Mytilus edulis: one gene and its partners. The main gene of each other region encodes a partner of the protein of the gene in region 2 in a complex. Links are inferred from orthologs where the notes say so. Each region holds a gene or a part of one and is shown on either strand. Other genes may lie near its edges.

The links. Proteins that work in one complex are often made in the same cells at the same time.
Region 1: E3 ubiquitin-protein ligase Hakai-like (region 2) and pre-mRNA-splicing regulator WTAP-like share a complex: the UniProt entries of both Homo sapiens proteins name them as parts of the WMM complex. The link is inferred for Mytilus edulis from reciprocal best matches to the Homo sapiens genes CBLL1 and WTAP.
Region 3: E3 ubiquitin-protein ligase Hakai-like (region 2) and N(6)-adenosine-methyltransferase catalytic subunit METTL3-like share a complex: the UniProt entries of both Homo sapiens proteins name them as parts of the WMM complex. The link is inferred for Mytilus edulis from reciprocal best matches to the Homo sapiens genes CBLL1 and METTL3.

Annotation. Positions count from the first base shown.
Region 1 is NC_092353.1:21,213,555-21,221,620, reverse strand, and holds the start of pre-mRNA-splicing regulator WTAP-like, read right to left. Parts: upstream 3,603-8,066; 5' UTR 3,497-3,602; coding exon 3,376-3,496; intron 2,914-3,375; coding exon 2,882-2,913; intron 1,563-2,881; coding exon 1,507-1,562; intron 1,043-1,506; coding exon 990-1,042; intron 1-989. UniProt on the Homo sapiens protein: Associated component of the WMM complex, a complex that mediates N6-methyladenosine (m6A) methylation of RNAs, a modification that plays a role in the efficiency of mRNA splicing and RNA processing.
Region 2 is NC_092344.1:88,732,162-88,739,919, reverse strand, and holds the start of E3 ubiquitin-protein ligase Hakai-like, read left to right. Parts: upstream 1-4,110; 5' UTR 4,111-4,232; coding exon 4,233-4,245; intron 4,246-7,758. Other genes in the region: ubiquitin carboxyl-terminal hydrolase 19-like, read right to left, coding at 111-339, 1,399-1,529, 2,021-2,149, 3,861-3,927. UniProt on the Homo sapiens protein: E3 ubiquitin-protein ligase that mediates ubiquitination of several tyrosine-phosphorylated Src substrates, including CDH1, CTTN and DOK1. Targets CDH1 for endocytosis and degradation.
Region 3 is NC_092348.1:95,908,956-95,917,209, reverse strand, and holds the start of N(6)-adenosine-methyltransferase catalytic subunit METTL3-like, read left to right. Parts: upstream 1-4,652; 5' UTR 4,653-4,776; coding exon 4,777-4,927; intron 4,928-6,640; coding exon 6,641-6,911; intron 6,912-7,651; coding exon 7,652-7,724; intron 7,725-8,254. Other genes in the region: cleavage and polyadenylation specificity factor subunit 5-like, read right to left, coding at 53-253, 4,406-4,527. UniProt on the Homo sapiens protein: The METTL3-METTL14 heterodimer forms a N6-methyltransferase complex that methylates adenosine residues at the N(6) position of some RNAs and regulates various processes such as the circadian clock, differentiation of embryonic and hematopoietic stem cells, cortical neurogenesis, response to DNA damage, differentiation of T-cells and primary miRNA processing.

The DNA of each region.
Region 1 (8,066 bases), on a different chromosome or scaffold from region 2:
ACTGTATATCTTTCTTAGTGGTCTTTCTAGTTAATGTATTGCAACGTTTAACTTTATTGCATGCATCTGAAATTAGATCTCTAGCAATGTGTTTATTATATCCTCTGGCTGCTAATTTTGGTTCAAGGTTAATTAGATGCTTGTTCAAATCAATTTCATTATTATTTTTTCTAATGTGCAATATTTAGTTTCTCCCACAGAGGCCACAGTGATACTTTTAATAGTACTCTGTGGATGAGAGCTATTAGGTGGTCAATATTGATAAGTTTCTGTCATTATAATGTGAGAGTTGACATCCAAGATTCCATTTATATGAAATCTATCACCTTTATAAACCTCTAAATCTAAGTTGGTCATTAACTTGTCAGATACTTCATATGTAAATTTTAACTGACTGTTAATCTTGTTAACAATGCTAAAAAAATTCTCTATTTGTAATATATTACCAGTGAAGACCATAAAGCCGTCACCTCTATATTGACAGTGTAATTTAATGAGTGTTCTGTACTGTAAATCTGTGCATGTAGGCGGTAAAATACCTCCCATGGGAGCGCTTATTATCTGTTTATAGATGTGTCCATTAAATCTAAATACATTGTTTTCTAATACTATTTTAATCAGCTGAGCTAAATCTGCTGAATTGAGGATTTGAAAATCATATGATAACTTGTCAAAGAAGAATTGTATGTAGTTAGCATTAGTTTAGTACCATGTGGGGATATTAATGTCTATTTTGATTTAAAAGTTGTGTGATTGAGCTTTTCTGTTTGATCTTCAACTCATATACCATTTTATCAATATGAACATGATGAAGGTGAAAATTTTGTAGATGGTCTATTGAATTAGACTGACAGATGGAGAGAGTAAAGACCTGTAGTTCCTTTATTTTTTTACTAGTAGATGACGAATCATTTAACTATAATAAAATTGAGAATGGAAATGAGGATTGTGTCAAAGAGACAACCCTACCATGAGCATACCATGCATACCTTTTTTGCTCTTTTCTTCCAAGGACTTCACATACTTGTCCTGATCTCTCAATCTGTAAAGTAAAATTGACAAGATATATAATATATATATATATAAATTTGTTTATTAAAGTGTCACATATTGATTGCCATAAAACATATACAGATAACTAACTTAACACTGACTATGGTATAATATTTGTCATTTAAAAATTTGATAACTCATTAATACATTTTTTTAAATAATGTACATTTTCTGTGTAACCAAAATCTTATCAACTTTTTCAGTATACAGTATAATATTGATCCTGTGGCTTCAGAGGATTTTGAAAAATTCAAAAACAGACATAAATTGTAAAAGTTCACATTGCCCAGATAGCCAGGTGATAAAATTCAATAACCTTTTTTGAATATAGGGTGCATGATTGTCCTTTTTAAAACTTGGTAAAATATCGTTTTTGGTATTTAGAGGTTGAAATTTAAATCCATCTTATATTTCTGAAATCTCTCTTTAATAATAGTGTATAAAAAGTCTTACCTTATTACAAGTTCTTCCCTTGGCATATCATCTAGAGCCATCATGTCTAAACGAGCCTAGAATATAAATTGAAATTATTAATATAATTAACTATGGGGCAACCAAACAACCATTTGTTCAGAAAAACAGTCAACACCAAAAATCAAACGTTTTCATTACAACAATTATTACATCTTTCGATCAGAAATCTAATGTTCAAAATTATCACTCAATTTTTCTTCCAGTAGATTTTGTCAAAAAAGCAGTATTTTTATCAATTGATTTGAATGTTCGAACATGGTGTATCTAAACATGCAAAATGTGACTGTTTAAATTTTATCAGTATTTTTATTATCTCAGTGATTTTCCTGGCGTTTAAGGGAAGGGTCCTGGGGCCCATGCAATTGGGAAAAAAATTATGGTTTGGGAAAAATATGATTTGTCTTTACGACGGCGGGCACACGGCGCAAGACGTGTGCGCCTTGCTAGGGGGGTTTGGGGGCATGCCCCCCCCAAGAAAATTTTGAAAATTAGGTGCAAAATCCTGCATTCTGAGAAGGATTAACTGCATGAATTGCCTACAAAATAAGCTATCTTTTTAAGGAAAAGGATTAAAAATAAAAGTCGAATGTATCTACGTTCATTTTGTTTACATTATGTCTCATTTTTTTGCTTTGTCATTGAATTATTCATTCGGATGTTTCAAGCGCAAACGTGACCAGAATATCGTAGATTGCAATGCAATCCAAAAAAGATTGCAAACCAATCATCGTCTTAAGTGAACGATAATGATAACTCCCGAAATACCCAGAACGCTCAGAGATTTGTCAACAAAATAATACACGATACGGAGATACGACAATAACAAAATCTCGCGACGATGTCCATATACGATTGGGAATTTTAGAGCTGAAAATTGGGAAAAAAAGAGCATATTTCTCTTTGGGAATGGGGCCGAAATTCGGCCCCAAAATGAGGGTTGGAAAATCACTGTATCTGCATGATGTTTTTTTTATTATATCATTATACATGTTATATAGTGTTTTACATATTTGTATCAGCAATAATAATTAGGCATAAAACTTTTGGTTTTAAAATGGTTTATTTAAAATCATTGCAAGTTTGAACAGAAATTTAAAAACTGTCTTGACAACTTAAAAACCAGACAAAAACATGATAAAAGAGGTGGTTTTACACTATTGAATTCTCAAGTTCTGGTAGATGAACGGGTTGAACCAACTATTATCAACTGTATTTTTAACAACTTTAAACATGTTAATTAATAAATTTTCTTCATGACTATCTAGTGCAAATAATATTAGTCTGTTGTCATTAACATACATCTTTGCAATATCCTATAAGAGGAGAAAATAGGTGTTCAAAAGTTAATACTTGCCCTTTTAGGTGAAGCTGAGCTCTCAGACATTTCTGTAAAATACAAAATGTATAAGATGCAACATCAACTAAGCATGAAGAATATATGATCAAAATGCTGCTGCAAAAATAGCATGGAGGGACATGTTTTTTTTGTTATTACTTGCTTATTGATTGAAACTTTAAACAATGTTCCTTTAATTGTTATTGTCAGTAAAAATAATTGTAAGAATCTCTTGAAAATAACATTTGCTTAAACAATTGTTAAAAGTATGGAATATTTATTGATTTTTATCCCTTTGTTAATATAACTTGTAATGCTTGCGTCTATGTTCAGCAATCTGGAAACATAAATTTTATTGAATAAGTATAATGTAATAGTGAAAGTATAAATGGGAGTATTTATAAGTGCATTGTGTTTTGATCCAATATATATCACATATCTTCAGTAACAATAGAATACAAAGATTAAACCTAAAACGACAATAACATAAATCAATGTAATGAATCATTTACTTTTCTTTCTGAATTTTTTTACTTTTTCCTTGTGCAATTCCATTTTGTCACTTGGGTCATTTGTCAAGACATCAGGCTTTACCCTTTTCCCTGTTAAAATAACATTAATGCTGTTTGCCATTGTAAAGCAAATTTCTTTAGCTGTCCTCTCAACTAACCAAACACCTATTTTGTATAGGAAGGTATTTACAAATACTTTCACTTTTGTTTTTGGTTTTCCAGGAAGTGTTTTGAGCATGTGACATGTAAAATGGTATCTATTGGTTAGCTTTTAAACGAGCTGATAAAGGATTATGCCAACCGTGATTACCGGTTAATTTCGGAAAATATGTTTATTTCTTGGTTGTTATTTGCATTTTCGTTTCGGTACTTCGTATATTTGCGTCTTTGAGTAATATGTGAATTATGCGAAATGGCATGGCCGACATTTTAAACTCAAGATTTTACCTGTACGACTGTACGAATTTGTGTGCTTCTGCACCCTCAGTATTCAGTTCAAAGTTGTGATGCACAAAGAAAAGAAGGTTCTGTATTCGTTGCTAACTGCTTTACTTAGGTTATTGACTGTCAGCAATAAATTTAGTAGAGAATTTTCACCCTTTTTTCATCGAAAGGAGGCTGCCATTGTAATTATGTGAACAGAGCATTATGGGATAGCATAGTAAACTGTTACCAAGTCATTTACTTGTACTTTAAAGCATAATTACACTATTTAAACGGGAACCAGTAAAATCGATTAAAGGCCATACCTATTTATTTTTCTGTTTCCTAAAATATTGTGTGGAATTTAAAGATTATATAATATTGAATGTGAGAAACTACGGAAGCGTATTCAGGACGTAAAAATTAAATTGGCAATACACCTTTTTAAAGTCAAAATTTGCAAATCTTAAATTTTGACTTTGACTCGAAATTTTAACTTTCAAATCTCGAAATTTTGACTTTTTAAAATCTTGAAACTATATGACTTTAAACTAATTTCGACTCTTTTACGAAACAAAAATTCAAATTTAATAGTTTTAAAAATTTCGCTTTTGAAAGTTATGGTGGTATGAAGTCTAAATTAAAGATGATAGAATTTCTTCATACTTTTCCAAAACGAAGTATATAAATAGATAGATGCTTTATTTCCATAAAATGGGCTCACAAGGAGCATAATATAATATCATTGTAATATTCTTATTTTACAAATATAATAAACAATACAGTATACATAGTTACAAACACAAATAAGAAACAACAGTATATATATTGATATATGGAAAATTATAGGTCACCGCGCATTTTCCCAAGCTACAGCTTGTGACAAAATAAAACAAACATTTTGTATAGTTTATATACAGGAAAAAACATCATTATGTGATTAGAAGCTAAACTAAAGGATAGAATTGTAAAATAGCATAGTCGAAGATAACTGTTAGACTTGAAATGCTTTGAGAATATCAAACTGAGAAAAGATAGGGTCACCGTGCGTTTTTCCCGGCTAAAATACAAATTAACAAAAAGTCCATCTAGATTCCTTCAGAAAATGTACTATTTCAGAGTTACCTCCTCTTAAAATGCCAATTCAACAACATTAAGAATCAAGCAAAATATAATCTACACTTAAAATTAATTGATATTTATAATTAAGTAAAAATCTTATAAATTTGTTTTTTTAAATGCAAATTCACAATTGTTATCTGCATTTCTGCATCAAAATTTGCTAATTTGATTGAAAATCTGGACCTTAGATTCTCTGATTTTTGCAATCCAAGATGGCGAAAGACACCCGATGATACCACCTAGAAATTTCTACTTTAAACTTTGATGTTAGTAATCAAACACAATTTGACACTTTAAGAAGGAGGGGACATGGACGCATGTTATCAAAGCGTTACCCACACATTATTAAAGCGTTACCCACACATTTTAGCTATATGTTTTTAGACATTGGTTTTGTTCATAGATTAGATAGGTACTTGGCCATGAGGACAGGACAATTTTTTCTCTCTCCAAAAATCAGTTGTATATATTTTTTATGATTTCCGTAATTTCGATTATTTTCGTGTTTTATTGGATATCATGAACATAAAGTACTAGAAATAACTTGTATTTGCAATTCACTATCAATTTTAAGTTATTATTAACAGCGGTCACTCTATATACTATATAAAGCGAGATGAACAACGATAATCTTTAATTACCAAAACGTGCAATACAATAGTGTAGTCGTCAAGGAGAGACTCACAGCTTTAGTCATATCCACACAGTCCCAGTTATGTAAGCGAATCTATTATATTTACTATTACAGAAGAAAGCTTAATCACATTTGCAATCACAATTTTCAAAGGATCATTGTTTGATTCGATAAGAAAACTTTAATTAATATGGCTGATAAGGATTTTTAGTAGTGTTGTGCAGAAAGTTGAAAAGTGAAAACTGTCAATTCAATTGAAATTAGTGTCAACGAAAAACTAGTCCTGGTAAAATGTGTCTTATGTAGTGGACACTTGGTCTTTTATATACAAGAGGGGCGAAAGATACCTTAATATACGGTATTTTCTCGTGGTGAAAAGACGAACGGTTGCCTACAATTGCTTACATTTTCTTAATATGAACCCCGCCACATTATTTATGTATGTGCCTGTCCCAAGTCAGGAGCCTGTAATTCAGTGGTTGTCGTTTGTTTATGTGTTAAATATTTGTTTTTCGTTCATTTTTTCATAAAAATAAGGCCGTTAGTTTTCTCGTTTGAATTGCTTTACATTGTCATATCGGGGCCTTTTGTAGCTGACTATGCGGTATGGGCTTTGCTCATTGTTGAAGGTCGTACTGTAACCTATAGTTGTTAATGTCTGTGTCATTTTGGTCTCTTGTGGACAGTTGCCTCATTGGCAATCATACCACATCTTCTTTTTTTTTTATATTTGGTGGCTAGTTGTCTCAATAACCTACTTTCGAACTGCATACCACATCTCCTTATTTTATACAATTTGCTAGAAAAATGACGATGGCATAGATTTCCAGGATTTCTATCCGATGTCAATTATGAAAGGTGACATATTTATCACATTGAAAGTATCCCGCGGCATACATTGTGTGTATACCTAAAAGTTCTTTTCCGGAAAGAAAATCTTTTAGATGTATATTACGTAGACATTCCAATTATTTTTCCAAAAGTTCCAAGAGGAATAGATAGTTATTATCTGGATACAATACCAAATGGCTACCCAAAAACCAATTTATTGACGGAACTTTCAATAATGCGTTCACTGTTTTTATTTTTGTTCAACTTTTTCTTTGTGCTTACTATTAAATAGAGCACAGCATGCAGTTATGATAGTAAGTTAACAAAAATCCAGTTGTTATCTCTTAGGTTGAAACAGAGGGTCCGGGAACACAGTACGAATATAGTCCCGGACCTAGTGTAGACAGTGTGTTCTTGCCATTTTTATACCCTTTCCAAATGTATTTCTCTGTCATGTTTTTAAATACCTTAAACGTAGTGATTTGGTCCAGCAGAAATTATACAGGATAATAGTCAGTATTCCAAAAGCTGTCAAAAAATTCAAGACCCCCTTAAAACAAAAATTGTTCATATTTTGAGTTAGAGCTGATGAAGAGTTCTATTATTTCGATATAATATGTCTCAAAAGTAGTGCATCACACTGTTAAAATTCTATTGAGAACGCTCTGGTGGGATTTTTTTGAAATTTCCATTTATTGTCTAAAAGAAATGCACTACGAAATAACTGGAAATTGAAAAATAACTGCGTTATCGGGCCATAAACATATATAATACATGTATTATATGTCTCTGGTTGAAGTGCAATCTAATTAAAATATTGATCTCTGATTACGTTATACTGTAATCAGAGATCAATATTTTAATTAGATTGGTTGAATATGTATTATAACGTAATCAGAGATCAATACTTTAATTAGATTGGTTGAAGTGATGTCGCTAATAAGGCCGCAACATTTTAATAAGAGTTGATGAAATAAATAGAAGTTTTTGTATAATTTTTACTGGACTTTTGTAATATTAGACATGTTCTACATAATATATAACAATAAACTAAAAGAAAGAAATTTTATTTATTTATCCATGTAACCAAAACAAGTAGAAGTATTGCCATTTACATCCTAATGCGGACATTTTTCGTCTTCCTTTTCTACTTCCAAGGCTTTTCAGATATATTACATTAAGGATAATTAGTATGGTATCTTTTTGAAGGTGAGAAAACATAGAATGTTTAGAACAAAATTTTCAAAAATAGGAATAATTATTCGAAATCTTAAGAGCCTAACATGCTGTCTTTAGTATAAAATTAACCCCCCCCCCAAAAAAAAAAAAAAGAAAGAAAAGAAGACAATAACCGACAGCCACATGTGCCAAATGCACATTGTACTTTACATGGACTATACCATACATTTACAAAGTCAAGATAAATTTAACATGAGATCTATTTCAGATAAAATTTATTTCCTTTGATTTAAATCTGCATTATTTTCATGCATCTAGAGATTTAATTGCGGTGGTCCTGTTTGTAGACATGCAAAAAGAACAATGAATAAATAAACATACAATTGGTATAAAAATTTAAAAGAATAGAAAAAAGGAACGACCAATCTAGGATCATCTAACATGTCTAATTTTTTAGACATCTTACAGTTACTCAACTTACTGTATCACCTTCGAAATTTTT
Region 2 (7,758 bases):
AAGGAACATTAATAGAATGTCTATTATGTAAAGACATATCTATGTCTTGTTTTCTGCTTCCCAACAAAAAGATGCAGTGTTTTAAGAAAAAGTCTAAGGTGTACATGTACCTTCTTCTTTGTCCTTATCAACACAATATTCATCTGATGTTTGAGTATCTCCCTGTCCTGAATCATCTCCAGTAGCCTCGCTGGTACTCATTTGGTCTGGGGAAGGTGTGTCACCTGATGCCTGACCAGAGGTCATAACTTCAGTAGAAGACACAGAACTTAGATCAGTCTTCTTGGCCTCTGAAATATCTTCAGAACTGGGTTCGGATTGAAGCTTTTTCAGAACTCTCTAAAGAAGATAAAAATTATATATTTTTAAATGAAGCTTTAATAATACTATGCCTAATAACATGCAACCTTTGAATAGACTTATTAAGAAGGGATATAATTACGATACTGTTGTCAAGTCATTAAAGATTGCATATTTTGGCGTTAATATTGAGTCATTGATAAGGTCTTTGCATCGGAACTAAACACATTTATTCTAAAAACAGTTGTTGGCATGACACGGGTTATGTTCTTCTCATATATGTTATGATGGTATGATACTAAACCTCTAACGGGAAGGATTGTGCCTGATGTTCATATGATGAAATCATAATCTTTCAGTCAGTTTAGTTGAAGTCTGGAGCTGGCATGTCAGTTAACTGCTAGTAGTCTGTTGTTATTTATGTATTATTGTCATTTTGTTTATTTTCTTTGGTTACATCTTCTGACATCAGACTCGGATTTCTCTTGAACTGAATTTTAATGTGCGTATTGTTATGCGTTTACTTTACTACATTGGTTAGAGGTATAGGGGGAGGGTTGAGATCTCACAAACATGTTTAATCCCGCCGCATTTTTGCGCCTGTCCCAAGTCAGGAGCCTCTGGCCTTTGTTAGTCTTGTATTATTTTAATTTTAGTTTCTTGTGTACAATTTGGAAATTAGTATGGCGTTCATTATCACTGGACTAGTATATATTTGTTTAGGGGCCAGCTGAAGGACGCCTCCGGGTGCGGGAATTTCTCGCTACATTGAAGACCTGTTGGTGACCCTCTGCTGTTGTTTTTTATTTGGGCGGGTTGTTGTCTCTTTGACACATTCCCCATTTCCATTCTCAATTTTATTTTAACTCATATATAAAATGGTTTACACTATAAATACTTTTTTAAACTGTAAATAACTGTTTAGGCTAATATGTCATCTTTATATATCAGCTTATTAACATATAATGTCACTGGGAAATAAATAAATTTGGAATGTCATTGTGTCCATGTTTCCTGTACAGAAACAAAGAATACATGACACACTTAGCTATTACAAAACCTCTGGTCACATGTAAGTGAGCTAAATATATTGCTTACCTCTAATGATGACCAAATCTGAGGACATTTTTTCTTCATCATTATATGTAATTTTTTCTTCTTCCATTGTACTTTAGTATTTTCTCTATCAATATTTTTAGCAAATATTAAAGACCATGTCTGCTTTCCATCTGAAACAACCCAGTATAAACTGTATTAGTCAGCATTTTAATTTACAAGTTTATGATACATTTTATGTGAACAGAGAACAAGTGCAGATGTCTTGTCTTTATCTTCAAAGGCATTACACACTCTAAAATCTAGTTGCATGTGTTATACAAAGTCTTTATCTACTATTACTGTTTGTTTATCAATCTACATGTATTTCAGCTTAAAATTTTTGGTCTTGTCTTGAGCATTAAGATCTTTTACTTGAATTTGTTGATATTCGTCCTTACCATGAATTTGTTGATATTCTGACATCCTTACCATGAATGTTTTTTTTATTTGAAATAACATCTCAAAGTCAATTTTTAAACCTTTCTTTTATATTTTTATTAAAATGGACATATTTTACTAGTCTAAAAAGTCAGATGATTGCTGGGCTCAGAATATTGTGCACTACGCCAGTATTTTTTTGGTATGAAAGTGATGAAAAAAACAAATATTGAAAATATCCTACCTGGAAACTTTATCAGGACATACTGATCACCAAAAGATATATCCAAATCTTTCTGATTAGGTGTTAAACCTTCTTGATCAAATACCATAATGAGTTCATCTTCAGACTGTTTCCAGGTATATGAAAGTTCTATGAAAATAAATTTGAATATTAAAATGAAAATTTATTTTAATAACAGTCATGACAGTCAAAATGACAGTATATGTACCAATCAAAACATAGCTGTAAAAAAAAATATAACATCTCACCATTAAAAGAAATTCTTTTACACTGAACTGCAGCTTAGCTTAGCCTGTAGTCAATAAGCCTTTCCATTCGTCAGGGAAAACAAACTTATCGATTGAATTTTATTGAAAGCTGAGTAGTTGTTGTTGGTTACTGTCTGTCATAAAAATTGTCATATTTGTTTGTCATTTATTGATTTGTCATTAATGCTGTTTTTTGTTTTATTTCAATTGTTTAAAATTTTGCAATGTCAGTCATTTATAGGTGACTATATAGTATAGGGGTATGAGCTTTCCTTATTGTTGAACTTGGAAGGCTTTATATGGATATCATTTGGACTTATTTGGCAATAATAAGGTATCAGGTCCGTTCGCGCCCAATACACTTTCGCACCCTACACGTTCGCACCTCGCACATTCGCACCCAAAGTCCGTTCGCACACAATTTTAAAGTAAATTCTAGTTGAATAATTAGAAAATCATGATTGTTGTTTAAATTGCTTTGATGTAAATATTAGTACTGCATGAATTAAGCTTGGTATGATTAAAAAAAATGAAGATTTTAAATGAAAAACACAAAAGATAATTGTTTTTACTGTGACAGCTTGAAAAAAAAACCCGTCAGAATCTCACTTTATTTTGAAATAACATTATAGCAATACACTAACCAAAATATGATTAAGAGTTATTCAACACAACAACAACAAAACGTTGACAGAATCACACTTTATTTAGAAACTGATTATTTATTTGTTTTAACAATATACAATCCAAAACATGATTAGATTTATTCAACGCAAAAAAAACATTGTCTCAATTTATTTTGAGGCATTAAGATTTATTCAACACAAAAAAAAAATGTCTCAATTTATTTTTCTGCCAAAACTTTATTACAAAGTCATTAAACACAAAACCAATAAAAAAATTGGGCGCAAACGTGTAGGGTGGGAATGTGTAGTTGCAAAAGTGAAAGGGTGCGAACGAGAATGGGCGCGAACGTGAATGGGCACGAACAGACCCAGATTCCAATAATAACTGCTTCTTAACAGTAAAACATAAATCTAAACTGGACTAGTCTGTTCAGAGGGTTTATTTGGAACCCTTGGAATGCCTGAATACAAGACTTAGTCAATTGTGTCATAACTAAGGATACATGATGTATATATATATATTCTTTTCTTCAAAAATGAGAGATTGAGCAAAGGAAAATATCTACCAATTGGAAAGTAAGGCACTTATAAATCCCAAAGATATACATGTATGTGCTTATATATCTCATCATATACACCTTATCGCTATTTATCTGCCAATGTTGGACTACCAAAAGGTTCAGTTCTAGTAAAATTTTGACGTCACAAAAGAATTATCTGACGCCATAATGGAAAAGTGATTGTTGGATGATGTCAGTCACTCAAGCAGCGCTGATTCTCAGGTCAACTGGTACAGATTTCCATACAACAATAAGGTGTATTGATGTTGATATGACATGATTGACATTGTTTGTATAGAAAAAGAAGCACTAACAATGACTTATGCGTATTGAACCGAATTTGACATTTTGCCCAGTAATTTATAAGTGAATGGTTGTTTAATAAGTGCAAAGGAATGAGGTGTACTTTTGAAATTCGCTCTGGCTGTTGAACCTTGCTTTTCATCAGACATTTCTCTCATCTTTGTTGACATTTCTTTTGTCTCCTGGACATCAAGTGTCTTTTGTCTCTTGTGTTGTTCTTCTGCGCACACTTCGCCTGTGTGCTTTCTCTTCTTTGGACTTTGCTCTATTTTGGAGGTATCGTCTAAAATTTTAGTGTCCAGTTTTGGAACATTTAATAAATCTTTATTTTTCTGTATTATTTTTGAGCTGATTACAGAACCCAACTACTACATGCCGACAGTTTAAGAGCGAATCAAAGCTCTCGTTATATTTTCCAAATCTAATCAACCAATGGAAATGCTTGTCTGTTTTTACTTTCGGTTTATTAAGGAAAATGGCAGATGAAGGTAAACTGGCATGCACTTTTTACTAAAAAGCGATGTAACATTAACATGCATTAAAGAGATAGACAGAAATTTTACGACATGATACTCTGAAAATTCCCTCTGACACGAATAACAATAGGTCATTTCGCAAATACAAAATCATTATCAAACAAATGATAACAAAACCTGGTTGAAATAATCTGAGATAATTTGAGAGTTTAAAATTGATAAATAATTTATATGTGACACTCCTAAACGTGTCCTTCCCCCAAACGTGTCCGATTCCCCCAAACATGTCCGTAATATTCAATATTCCCCAAATGTGAAACGTGTCCGATTCTATGACCCCAAAACGTGTCCAATAATTGTTATTCGCCAAAACGAGTCCACTATAACATGCAGGAACGTCTCACGTCTTTCAGCGCAAATACAGGTATGTCCTAATTGAGGACTCCTAAATGAAATCAATAACGTTTAACGGCTATTCTTTAATTACGGACACTGTTGATATTGTGGTCATTTATTAGCATTAGTTTGTTCAATGCAGGTTATTAACGATCATCATAATTGTAAGTTCACTCTGTAACATATGCATTCACTTTAGACTGTATTTGCTTATTGGCCAGTTGCAAGTATTTCATGCTCATTTTTAGCGAACATACAAATAATTCTTGTACAGTTGAACTACAGTTTGTACTAATAAACTCCAATGATGCTTTTAAATTAATCTGAATATTGCACAACGGGCTTTCAGCATATTTGACTTCCTTTTTCAATTCTCAGTCTGGTATTTTAAAAGTTTTTCAAATCATAAACTGGTCAAATGCTGGTTATCAGGGTTTTTTTTAATAAATTTTATGTTTCGAGCATCACTAATGACACACACATAAGAGACATAACGTCCCAAGTGAAATATTTCATGCATTATTTAAACGATATAATGTTAGCAAAAATACATTTGTCCTTTCGGTGTCTTTTATAGCTTTTAAAACGGTATGGACTTTACTCATTTTTGAAGGCCGTACGGTGACGAGTTGTTAATTTCTGTGTCATGTGGTCTTTAATTGGGAGTTATCTCATTGACAATCATACCACATCTTCTTTTTTATCATTTTATTTAGTTTAAACATATTTAATTATAGTGGATTGGGAAACAAGTTTTGCAACTTATATTAATCCCTTTCCACTCTGCGGGTGCGAGTGCTGCCTTGTAGCGGCATTAGCCTGCTCTTTTTGGAAATCTGCAAGGGTTCTATTATCATACCGGGAATTGAGGATTGGGCTTAAATTTTTACGGTTATTCGTGATCAACACTAGTTAGGATTTTAATCTAAAATAATTAAGGGAGAGTAAAAACGATTTTTGTTTATCTTTAGTTAGAATTGCGCAGTGAACGGGACATTCTCCCTACACGAGGTATCTGATTGTAAATCTACAACTTAACTGAGCATGGCTGCTTACATTTACATTCAACATAGCTTAACAAACGCCCCCACTTTTACCAGGTTATTCTGTCTGTTTTGAAAAATAGATCTAAAGTTATTTTCTACTTTTTAATGAAATAGCAAAATGAGTATACATTGCTGAAAAAGCAATAACCAAATAACCTACATACTTATAATATTGACACAAATGACATTTCTAGTTAAAAAAACATATGGACACATTTGGGGGATTGAACACGTTTAAGTGTTTATTAAAAAATGGACATGTTTGGGCGTTTATACAAATGATATGGTTTGGCGCTGTTTTTACAACTAGACATGTTTTAGAGTTCAGTGACGTTGATGTGAACACGTTTGGGGGAATCGGACACGTTTGGGGGGAAGGACACGTTTCTGAGTGTTACATATATATATATATACTATAGACTCTTACAGGCACAATGTATAATATATGTATAACTACCTCTATAAATAGACAACTCTACGGCAGATCCATCCATTCAATCAGTGATGGTGATACATGTATTATCATTTTAACATAAATTCAACATCCATTAAAGAGCAAGCATATAAGTCCCTAGTAAGACCATCACTAGAGTATACTTGCTCTGTTTGGGATCCATACTTACAACAAGACATAGATAGCATTGAAAAGGTTCAAAGGAGGGCTGCACGTTTTGTTACCAACAAATACAGAAACCCCTCAAGCGTTGGTAACATGATACAACATCTTGAATGGCACAGTCTCTCTGACAGAAGAAAAGACTCCAGATTGGTAATGCTTTACAAAATTGAACACGAAAAGGTTGCAATACCTAAAAATACTAAATTAATTCCACAAACAAGACAAACAAGACATTCTAATTTGAACAGCTTCCAAATTCCATCCTGCAAAACACAGTACAGAATAGAATCCTATTTTCCAAGAACTATTACCGACTGGAACAAACTACCGGATAACATTGTAAATTCACTTAATTGCACTTCAGTAGACTCTTTCAAACTTTTCGTATTTTTTTTTAAATTGTACATTTTTCAATCTATGTCTTGTTGTAAGTTTCCTACTGTGACATAATCTTCAATTTGTTGAAAGCAGTCACTAAAAGGTAGAATAGAATAGAATAGGTAGAATCATACACGGCTGAAATATATAACTATTATGCTTAAATCACAAATGTATCAGCACAACAATCCGCAAATTTTTGTTCTTCCCTTGCTTGGATTCAGACTCATGCTATTGGGATATCGAGACAACACAGCCTGCACTGTGTCCATCCAGCCATTCCTCTAGACCACTTGGCCACCTTGACTGAACTAATAATTCAGCTTAACCTTTGGGCCGCTTTAGCGTTTAGGCTTGAATTAAAATATTGTTTGTTTGCCCTTTACCGACCGACCCGATAAATTCGTTCCGACTGAAATCTTTAATTTGTATTTACCAGCAATATTTTTTTTCTTTTTTTTTCCTTTCCTACCGAAAATCTTCTATTTTTATTTCCTGCTCAAAACTTTTGTACCAGAATCCTTGGGTTTTCATCTTCCCTGTATAAGGTTAAATCCCTTTGGTATCACGTGAGCATTTGGCATGAACACTTTTAGATAATTAACTCTGACATCATAGATACATGAATTCAAATTTTATATATACACCAGACGCGCGTTACAGATTCAAAGCATTTGATTGAAATCGATGTTGAAAGTTTTGAAATCATAATATGACGAACGTTGCCCTGTGTCCTTATACTTGAAGAGCAGGGTTCATTCAAAAAATTTTGTCCAATACAAAATTATCAACATGGTCAAAGTGCGTACAAAATAATTTGTTAACGGACATTGTATCCTATGTAGGGATGACCTTTGGTGATCCGTAGATCAGGATGATTATGTTAACGGTGCCTATGACCAGCTTTGACATTTTATTTATATTTGACATGAACCAAAGTCCTGTAAATTGGAGAATAATTGGCAGTAAAATCGCTAAGTTTTCCTTACAGACCATTTATAAATGTGATGTAAAATATGTGATAACTAAGTTCCAAGTCTTGTAGATTCTAAACACTCAGTCTCTATAGGGTTGTAAGTAAAATGA
Region 3 (8,254 bases), on a different chromosome or scaffold from region 2:
ATATATAGAGTTATATTGAGTGTTTATATACTGACAAACTTGAAAAACTTACAATTTGAAGAAAGTTGTACCAAGCTGTAACAGCAGTACATGTGGAAGACCATGCTCATGTACAATCAATACACCCTCAACCGATCGTCTCATACCAATCTTCTCAAAATCTTCCCTCATCCTGGCAAATCTGGCTGGTACAGAACTATCCTTTTCATAAAGAGGCTCTTTTGTACCAAATGTGTAGTTAGTTAAAGGATACCTGAAAAAATTATTTAATATATTATTCTCCAATTTCTCATAACTGATAAAAGTTGCAAGGCAGTAAATATTTAACAAATCAAAAATTGGTGAATTATACTTCAATTCAGGTACATGTGTAATTCACATTCTATTACATGTATATACATGTGAGCTGCGTCGGATAGAAATCGACCTTATGCAAGTACACATTTACATGTACACAACTGTGATTGGTTTTAAAAACATTCAACATGTTCGAATATAAAATAAAAGATGAATTTTAGTCTGTTTTATAGTGTTCTTAAAACAACTCAAAGTTTCAAACAGTTACCGACTTTTGATATAGATTTTTTCCATCAGAAATAGGATAAAAAAAAGTATTGATATTCACTTGCATAAGGTCGATTTCTGTGTAATTCACATTCTAATACATTCTACTGCAATAGACATCCTTCTACTTAGTTGCATTCCCTTATATACTTTGGTTTAATTTCTAGTTTGTGCTGCATAATAAATTATAATCATGAAGAAGCTTGATAGATACAAGGGATCCACTCCATCTGATTAATGATGTCATAAAGAAGCTAAAAGCATAACTGACAAACTTTTCCATTGAAGGACATAACTGAAGAGTGGTCTATTAATTCATATCATCAAAACTAGGGATGTCAACAAGTACTCAAGTATTGCTCAACTATTTGGTTTCCTGTTAGAATGTTATTGTTTTCTTAAGTTTAAACAGAAAACATTTTTATTGGGTATAATTTTGTGTTTCCATTTGGTAAGTGTGTAACCGAGCGAGTACTTGAGTATCGCTCAATAAATCCAACTTGTATGTTATACTTGATTAGTAAATTTTTACAGAGTTGACATCCCTTATCAAAACCACATTTTCTTAAGAACTCCAAAGCTGAATATTAACCAATAGATATGATCGAAAAACTATATTTTATATGGTGTTATTATAAGTTATCTACGTTCATATCCGTAGATATGGGTATTTTAACACCCTGAAGTACCCCAGTACACCATGAGGCGTATCGTTCATATCCATAGATATGGGTATTTTAACACCCTGAAGTACCCCAGTACACCATGAGGCGTAGCCGACGCTATAATTATTTTGAAGATGCTATTTTACTTGTCCTCAATTTTGAACTTTCATCTATTATCGATTATGATCATAAAAATTATATCACCTTTAATTGTAATCCCTTTAAGTCGGACACTAAAGGCAATTAAGAGATTAAATAGCTAGGTGTTAATTGCCCTCAGGGTGATAACTGTAAAAGTGTTTGGATGCGAATATCCCAAGCTGACACTTGTGACATGACTAAATACCACGTGTCTGCAATCACCAATATCGACATGGAAATATGCAATCACAAACAATATTAAAAAAAATACACTTATTTTTTTTTACGCAAAATGTGATGCTATCCAAAATTTCTGGGGAGAACACTGTTAATGAAAAGTACAAGTCAGTGTTCTCCCCAGAAATTTTTACGTTAAAAAAAATAACAGTATTTTTTTTAATGTCATTTGTCGCGTCGTGTTGATGCTCTATTTCCTTTATATGTTTTAGTTTATATTGTTCAATTCATAACTGAGAATACAATTAAACTGTAACCACAAAAACAGTTGTTTCAGTTTATGTTTTCTTTATTCATTTATAGTAATCAGAATTATTTTTTTCCTTTTGTGCCAAATAAAAATAAATATGTGGTTTCAGTTACCCAATAATAAGTCAAATGAATGAATGGTTCATTATAGTGCAACCGGTATATATATACAAAACTAAATATTTAGTACACAAAATTAACAATTTTTTATATTATTTTAAGTAAAGATAAAGTAGCCAAAAAAATCCTCAATTTAAAAACTTTTTTTTATCATGTTTATGAAATTCATTGTTTCATGGCACTCAATGAATTAGTCCCAGTTGTTTATCTTTACATCAAAATGATATGTATTTTTAACAAAGTCATCTAACAAATAGTCTGTTAATACGTAGTTTTCTTTCGTGGTATATTTTTTCTGTCTACTGTCCATCTGTTGTCATTATCGTGAAAATGCGGATTTTTGTCATATCTAGTCCGGTTCCTATCCGTAGTTTACACAAAAATGTGCAATGGCGGCCGTAGAAAAATTTACGAAAATGAGTCTGAGAATAAACATTGTTTGACAAGAGATTGTGAATGAATAAGACGCTTTTAATGCATTAAATGGATTAAACATAAACTTCAGCCAATTATGATAACTTTTTAAAGAAATATTAAACTTATTTTAGCTCTAAACCAAAATTCTCGCTCTCGTATTACTGGAAGAGAAAGAAAGTAATTTTTGGAGAGTTGCACAAATAAACGACCTTTTAAAAAAAAATAAAAATCGTTTCAATCTTTGAAATTTCGTAATATAAAACGTAGATTTCGAATTGTGTTGTGATTGCATTATTCCATGTCGAAATTGGTGATTGCAGACACGTGACGTGGTATTAATCATGTCACAAGTGACAGCTTGGGATATTCGCATCCAAACAGTTATCACCCTGAGGGCAATTAACACCTAGCTATTTAATCTCTTAATTGCCTTTCGTGTCCGACTTAAAGGGATTACAATTAAAGGTGATATAATTTTTATGATCATAATCAATAATAGATGAAAGTTCAAAATTGAGGACAAGTAAAATAGCATCTTCAAAATAATTATAGCGTGGCGGGAATAATTATAGCGTTGCGGTAATAATTATAGCGTCGCTGGAATTATCATAGCATCACGGTGAAAAAATATAGCGTCGCGGTACCGCGACGCTAAAACGGCCTGGGGAGAACGAATCCGGGTCCGTTTGCGCCCATTCACGTTCGCACCCACACATGTTCGCCCCCTTTCATTTTCGCACCCTACATGTTCGCACCCAAAGTCCGTTCGCACCCTACATGTTCGCGCCCAATTTTAATTGGTTTTGTGTTTAATAACTTTGTAATCAAGTTTTGGCAAGTACGTAGTATTCTTATAAGTATAATTGTTTTCATGGTCTCAAAATAAAGTGAGACAGCATTTTTTTTGTGTTGAATAAATCTTAATCATGTTTTGGTTAGTGTATTGTTAAAAAAAATTATATTCCTTTCTAAATAAAGTGGGATTCTGTCAACGTTTTATTTTGTGTTGAAATTCAGTCATCTGTATATAATTTAATTAATTGTTTCCCTATGTTTTAAGGTGTAAATAGTTGCTCAAACTATACCCTTTGGGTAGTGCTCCACATTTAATGGAGGAATATACAAGAAACTGAACTGAACTGAACTGTTGAATAATTGTTTATCATGTTTTGGTTAGTGTATTGCTATAACTTTTTTTCATTGACTTGTTTCAAAATGAAGTGAGATTCTGACTACGTTTCTTTTTTTTTGTGTGTGTTGGATTAAATTTTATCATGTATAGTGATATATAATAGTGTATTGTTTCATTATTTCAGATCAAAGGGACCAAGCTGTTCAAAACAATTATCTTTTGTGTTTTTCATTTAAAATCTTCAATCTTTTACTCATACCAAGCTATAAATACATTCAGTATTTACACGAAAGCAATTAAAAACAACAATCATGATTTTCAAATTATTCAACTGGAATTTGAATTAAAATTGGGCGCGAACGTGTAGAGTGCGAACGGACCTTGGGTGCGAACGTGCGAGGTGCGAACGTGTAGGGTGCAAAAGTATATTGGGCGCGAACGGACCTGATACCGGGGAGAACACTGCAAGTATAATAGGAAACAAATTTAAAAAAAAGCTTAACATTTTATTGAAAAGGCAGAGAATTTTGAACTCGTATTATTCCAGGTCAAAATATCCAAAAGCGAGAGATTTTAATCCTGTTCGGGACTGGACTGGCAAGTGGGAGATTTCCGTAATTTTGTTGTTTGCCCTAGAGTCTCCCGCTCGCAATGTGAGGGTTAGCTGGTATGGTTCATGACCTGATTAAGTTGGGTCTGTGGTTTACGCATTCTTCAAAAGAACTAATTAACCAGGAACACTTATCCGGAATCATACAGATCCTGTCTTGCTGTTGGAGTGTTGCACTAGTACTAGTAGTAGTAGTCTACAAAAGAAAGATCATGAATTTCTGATAGATAAATTAAAAGACACATGAACCTATATGGCTAGAGTGCTTACAAATTGATTGGTCTGTCGAGAGTTATGAGAGGATTTGCAGTGCCATATTTTGGGAAGGATGCGGAATTAGATTGTTTAGGCCAACCGTGGGGAACGCCGTGTGCTCTTCCATGTGACGCCATTGTCAATGTTTTCCTACTTTATTCTGGTTCTTTTTATATTAATTTGAGGCAAATCAGCAACAAAATTACAAACAGGGAACCAGTTATTTTAGAAAAGTGCCCTTCTGGGTCTTTTAAGCGCTTTAAAATAGAAAATATTTCGTTTGTTTGAATTGCAGATAATTGACACTGATCAAATTAAAAAAAAAAGAGAATTGATTTCGAGATCGAACTATTTACCTATTTACGAACCTGATTTAAGACACCACCATGTCAGATTCAGATGCATGGAGCGATATCCAAGCTATCAAAAGCAAACAGAGTAGCTTGAGAGCTAAAATGCTCCAGAGACGAAAAGAAAGAGAGGAAATTGCAGCCGAAATCACCAAGTCTAGCATCTCACCAACAACAAGTAGTGAAGGTGAAACACCATTATCTGGTTCTCATTGAAATTGTCCATTTTGCAACTGAGAATTAGCACACAAAATAGCTGACCCATATATTTTTTTTTCCATTGTCGTTAATGTTGATCTTATTGCTATTTTTACACCATTTTACTGGAGGTCTCATGAATCTGGGTCTGTTCGCGAGCAATCACCTTCGCGCCCATTCACGTTGGCGCCCTTTCACTTTCCCACCCTACACTTTCGCACTCAAAGTCTGTTCGCACCCTACACGTTCAAGACCAATTTTTATGGGTATTGTGTTATACAATTTGGAATCGAGTTTGGGTAATAAAGTGCATGAAGTGTATTGCTATTTATAAATATTTTTTTCATTGTTTCTACATATAGTGAGGTTCTGATAACATTTTTTTGACGTGTTGAATAAATCTTTATAATACCGTTAAAGCAAGTGTATTGCTCTACATAAAAATGATTTGTTCATTTTTTCTAAATAAAGTGAAATTCTGACAATGTTTTTTATGTGTTGATAAAATCTTAATCATATTTCGTAAGTGTATTGCTATGAATATTTTTTTTTAAAAGAGATCAAATTTAGGAGCCAAGCTGTTAAAAACAATTATCTCTCGTGATCTTCAAAGTTTTACTCACTCATAACAAGATAAATACATGCAGTATTTACATCAAAGCAAGTTAAATCAACAATCATTATTTTTAGTAAAAGTGAATAGAAATCTATGAAATTTTAACACAAGGTTTATGACCACAAAAGGAAGATTGGGATTGATTTTGAGAGTTTTGGTCCCAATATTTTAGGAATTAGGGGCCAAAAAGGGCCCAAATAAGCATTTTCTTTGTTTTAGCACTATAACTTTAGTTTAAGTAAATAGAAATCTATGAAATTTTGACACAAGGTTTATGACCACAAAAGGAAGGTTGGTATTGATTTTGGGAGTTTTGGTTCCAACAGTTTAGAAATTAGGGGCCAAAAAAGGGCCCAAATAAGCATTGTTCTTGGTTTTCGCACCATAACTTTTCAAATTGGTCTACATTAAAGTCCAAAGGGTCCAAAATTAAACTAAGTTTGATTTTAACAAAAATTGAATTCTTGGGCTTTTTTGATATGCTAAATCTAAACATTATACAATGCATATTCACTTTTACTACCGACTGATAAATTAAAACAATCTTTACCATTCAGTGATAACAAGCACTTTATTTTATATTTTAATATTTTATGATGTACTTAAATGAGTAGTTATTGTTGCAAACTCCATTAGAAGTTTGAATTGAGATCAGTTTTGGAAAAAGGTAAACATGGTAAAGGGGGATGTGAAAAAAAAATGGGAGGGGGGGGGGGGGGTAAATTTTTCTCATTTCAGATTTCATAAATAAAAAGAAAATTTCTTTAAACATTTTTTTGAGAGGATTAATATTCAACAGCATAGTGAATAACTCAAAGGCAAAAAAAATATTTTAAGTTCATTAGACCACATTCATTCTGTGTCAGAAACCTATGCTGTGTCAACTATTTAATCACAATCCAAATTTAGAGCTGAATCCAGCTTGAATGTTGTGTCCATACTTGCCCCAACCATTCAGGGTTCAACCTCTGCGGTCGTATAAAGCTGCAACCTGCGGAGCATCTGGTTTGAATTTGAATTTAAATAAAAATTTTGTACAAGAACTTTTAATTGATTTTGCCTCAAATCATGAACTTTATTTTTCAGATACAAAGAGCCAATCAGAATCAGCAAGCCCTGTTAAAGCAATACCATCTACATCTTCCAGTCCAGTAAAGTCCACACCGGCTGCTGAACCTACAAAGATAGACCCTGTTCTAGAGAAGAAAGTAATGTTGGCTCTCTGTGACATAGATCTAGACATACCCTGTAGTTCTAATGTTATAGCAGAACATTCATCTAAAATACTCAAACAGACCGTTAAACTTGATGTTGTGGAAGAATTACTGAAGAAATTTGCAGGACAACAGCTGATAAAGTAGGTGAAATAAATATGAACATGATGAAAGAAATATACATGTATAAGATATGAGTTATATGCCAATACTAGTACTATAGCAATGCAGCTACACCAAAATATTTTTTTTTTATCTCTGCAGTTAATAAATGTAGATTTCCAAAACCAGGAGAAAATAAAATCCATATGCTTTAATGCTACATTTCAATATGTCATCATGGTCGTAAGGGATTGAAAGGTGTAGACATTTTGTAATCAGAGCAAGACAAGTTGACATGGAGTCAGGACAGTGTGTTCATGCAGTAAGTGCAGGATGGCATGTTCTCCTGTTGACTATAATAACCTTATGTCCTAGCCTGTTAAGAATCTATCGCAACCTGTCAGTGTAGTGCAACGCAGGGTATTATAATGACAATTTTCACCTCTGGATGTTAAGCAGCGATCAATCAATCAAACCATTATCCAAATAAAATATCCAATTTTAAGGTATATGAATACACCTTATCGCTATTTGTCTGCCATTACTGGATATCACACAGGTTCCTGTAAAATGTTGGCATCATAATACAAAATATCTGATGCCACAATGGAAAAGTGAATGTTGTATCATGTCAATAGTTCAAGCGGCACAGATTTTAGGTTCAGGAGGGAATAGGTCAATAGTTCAAGCGGCACAGATTTTAGGTTCAGGAGGGAATAGGGATACATTGTAAGGTGTAAAGAAATTTAAATATTTTAATGATGTAATATTTTTCTTTCAGTATAACAGTAAAAGATGACAGTTTAGAAGATGAACAAGGCAAAATTACTGTCAATAGTATGGATATAACTAAGGTCTGTCTTATTGTATAAATTATGAAAGATAGCAAAATTACATTATTTAAGAACAATATCAAGTTAGGGGAGGAATTTGTAAAAGTGGAAAATCTCTTGTTTTCAAATCCTAATAAAACTGGCATATTGTAATGTATACGTTAATATTTTCAAATGAAATATTGTTTACTCTATGTTAGGTCTCAATTTACTGTCAATGGCATGGCTATATATACAGTCCGCCAAAAGTTAAGCACCACCTACTTTTATTGCATCGATTTTTTTTCAAATTTAAAAAATCAATTGTTCCTCGAAAAATAGAAAACAATCATATAGCAATTTTGCTAATGTATACCATTAACAAACCACAAATATAATTTTGGTCACTTATGAAGGTTCTATGCATATAGGTTTTTCGTTCATAGAAATAGTGTAAATTACACAATTAAGAAATGGAATTTAAGTTTCACTGTGATTTTATTTTTTTACAACAATTAATCACCCAATACCATTAAAATTTTCTACACATAATCTTTGGTATGTTTGGCAAA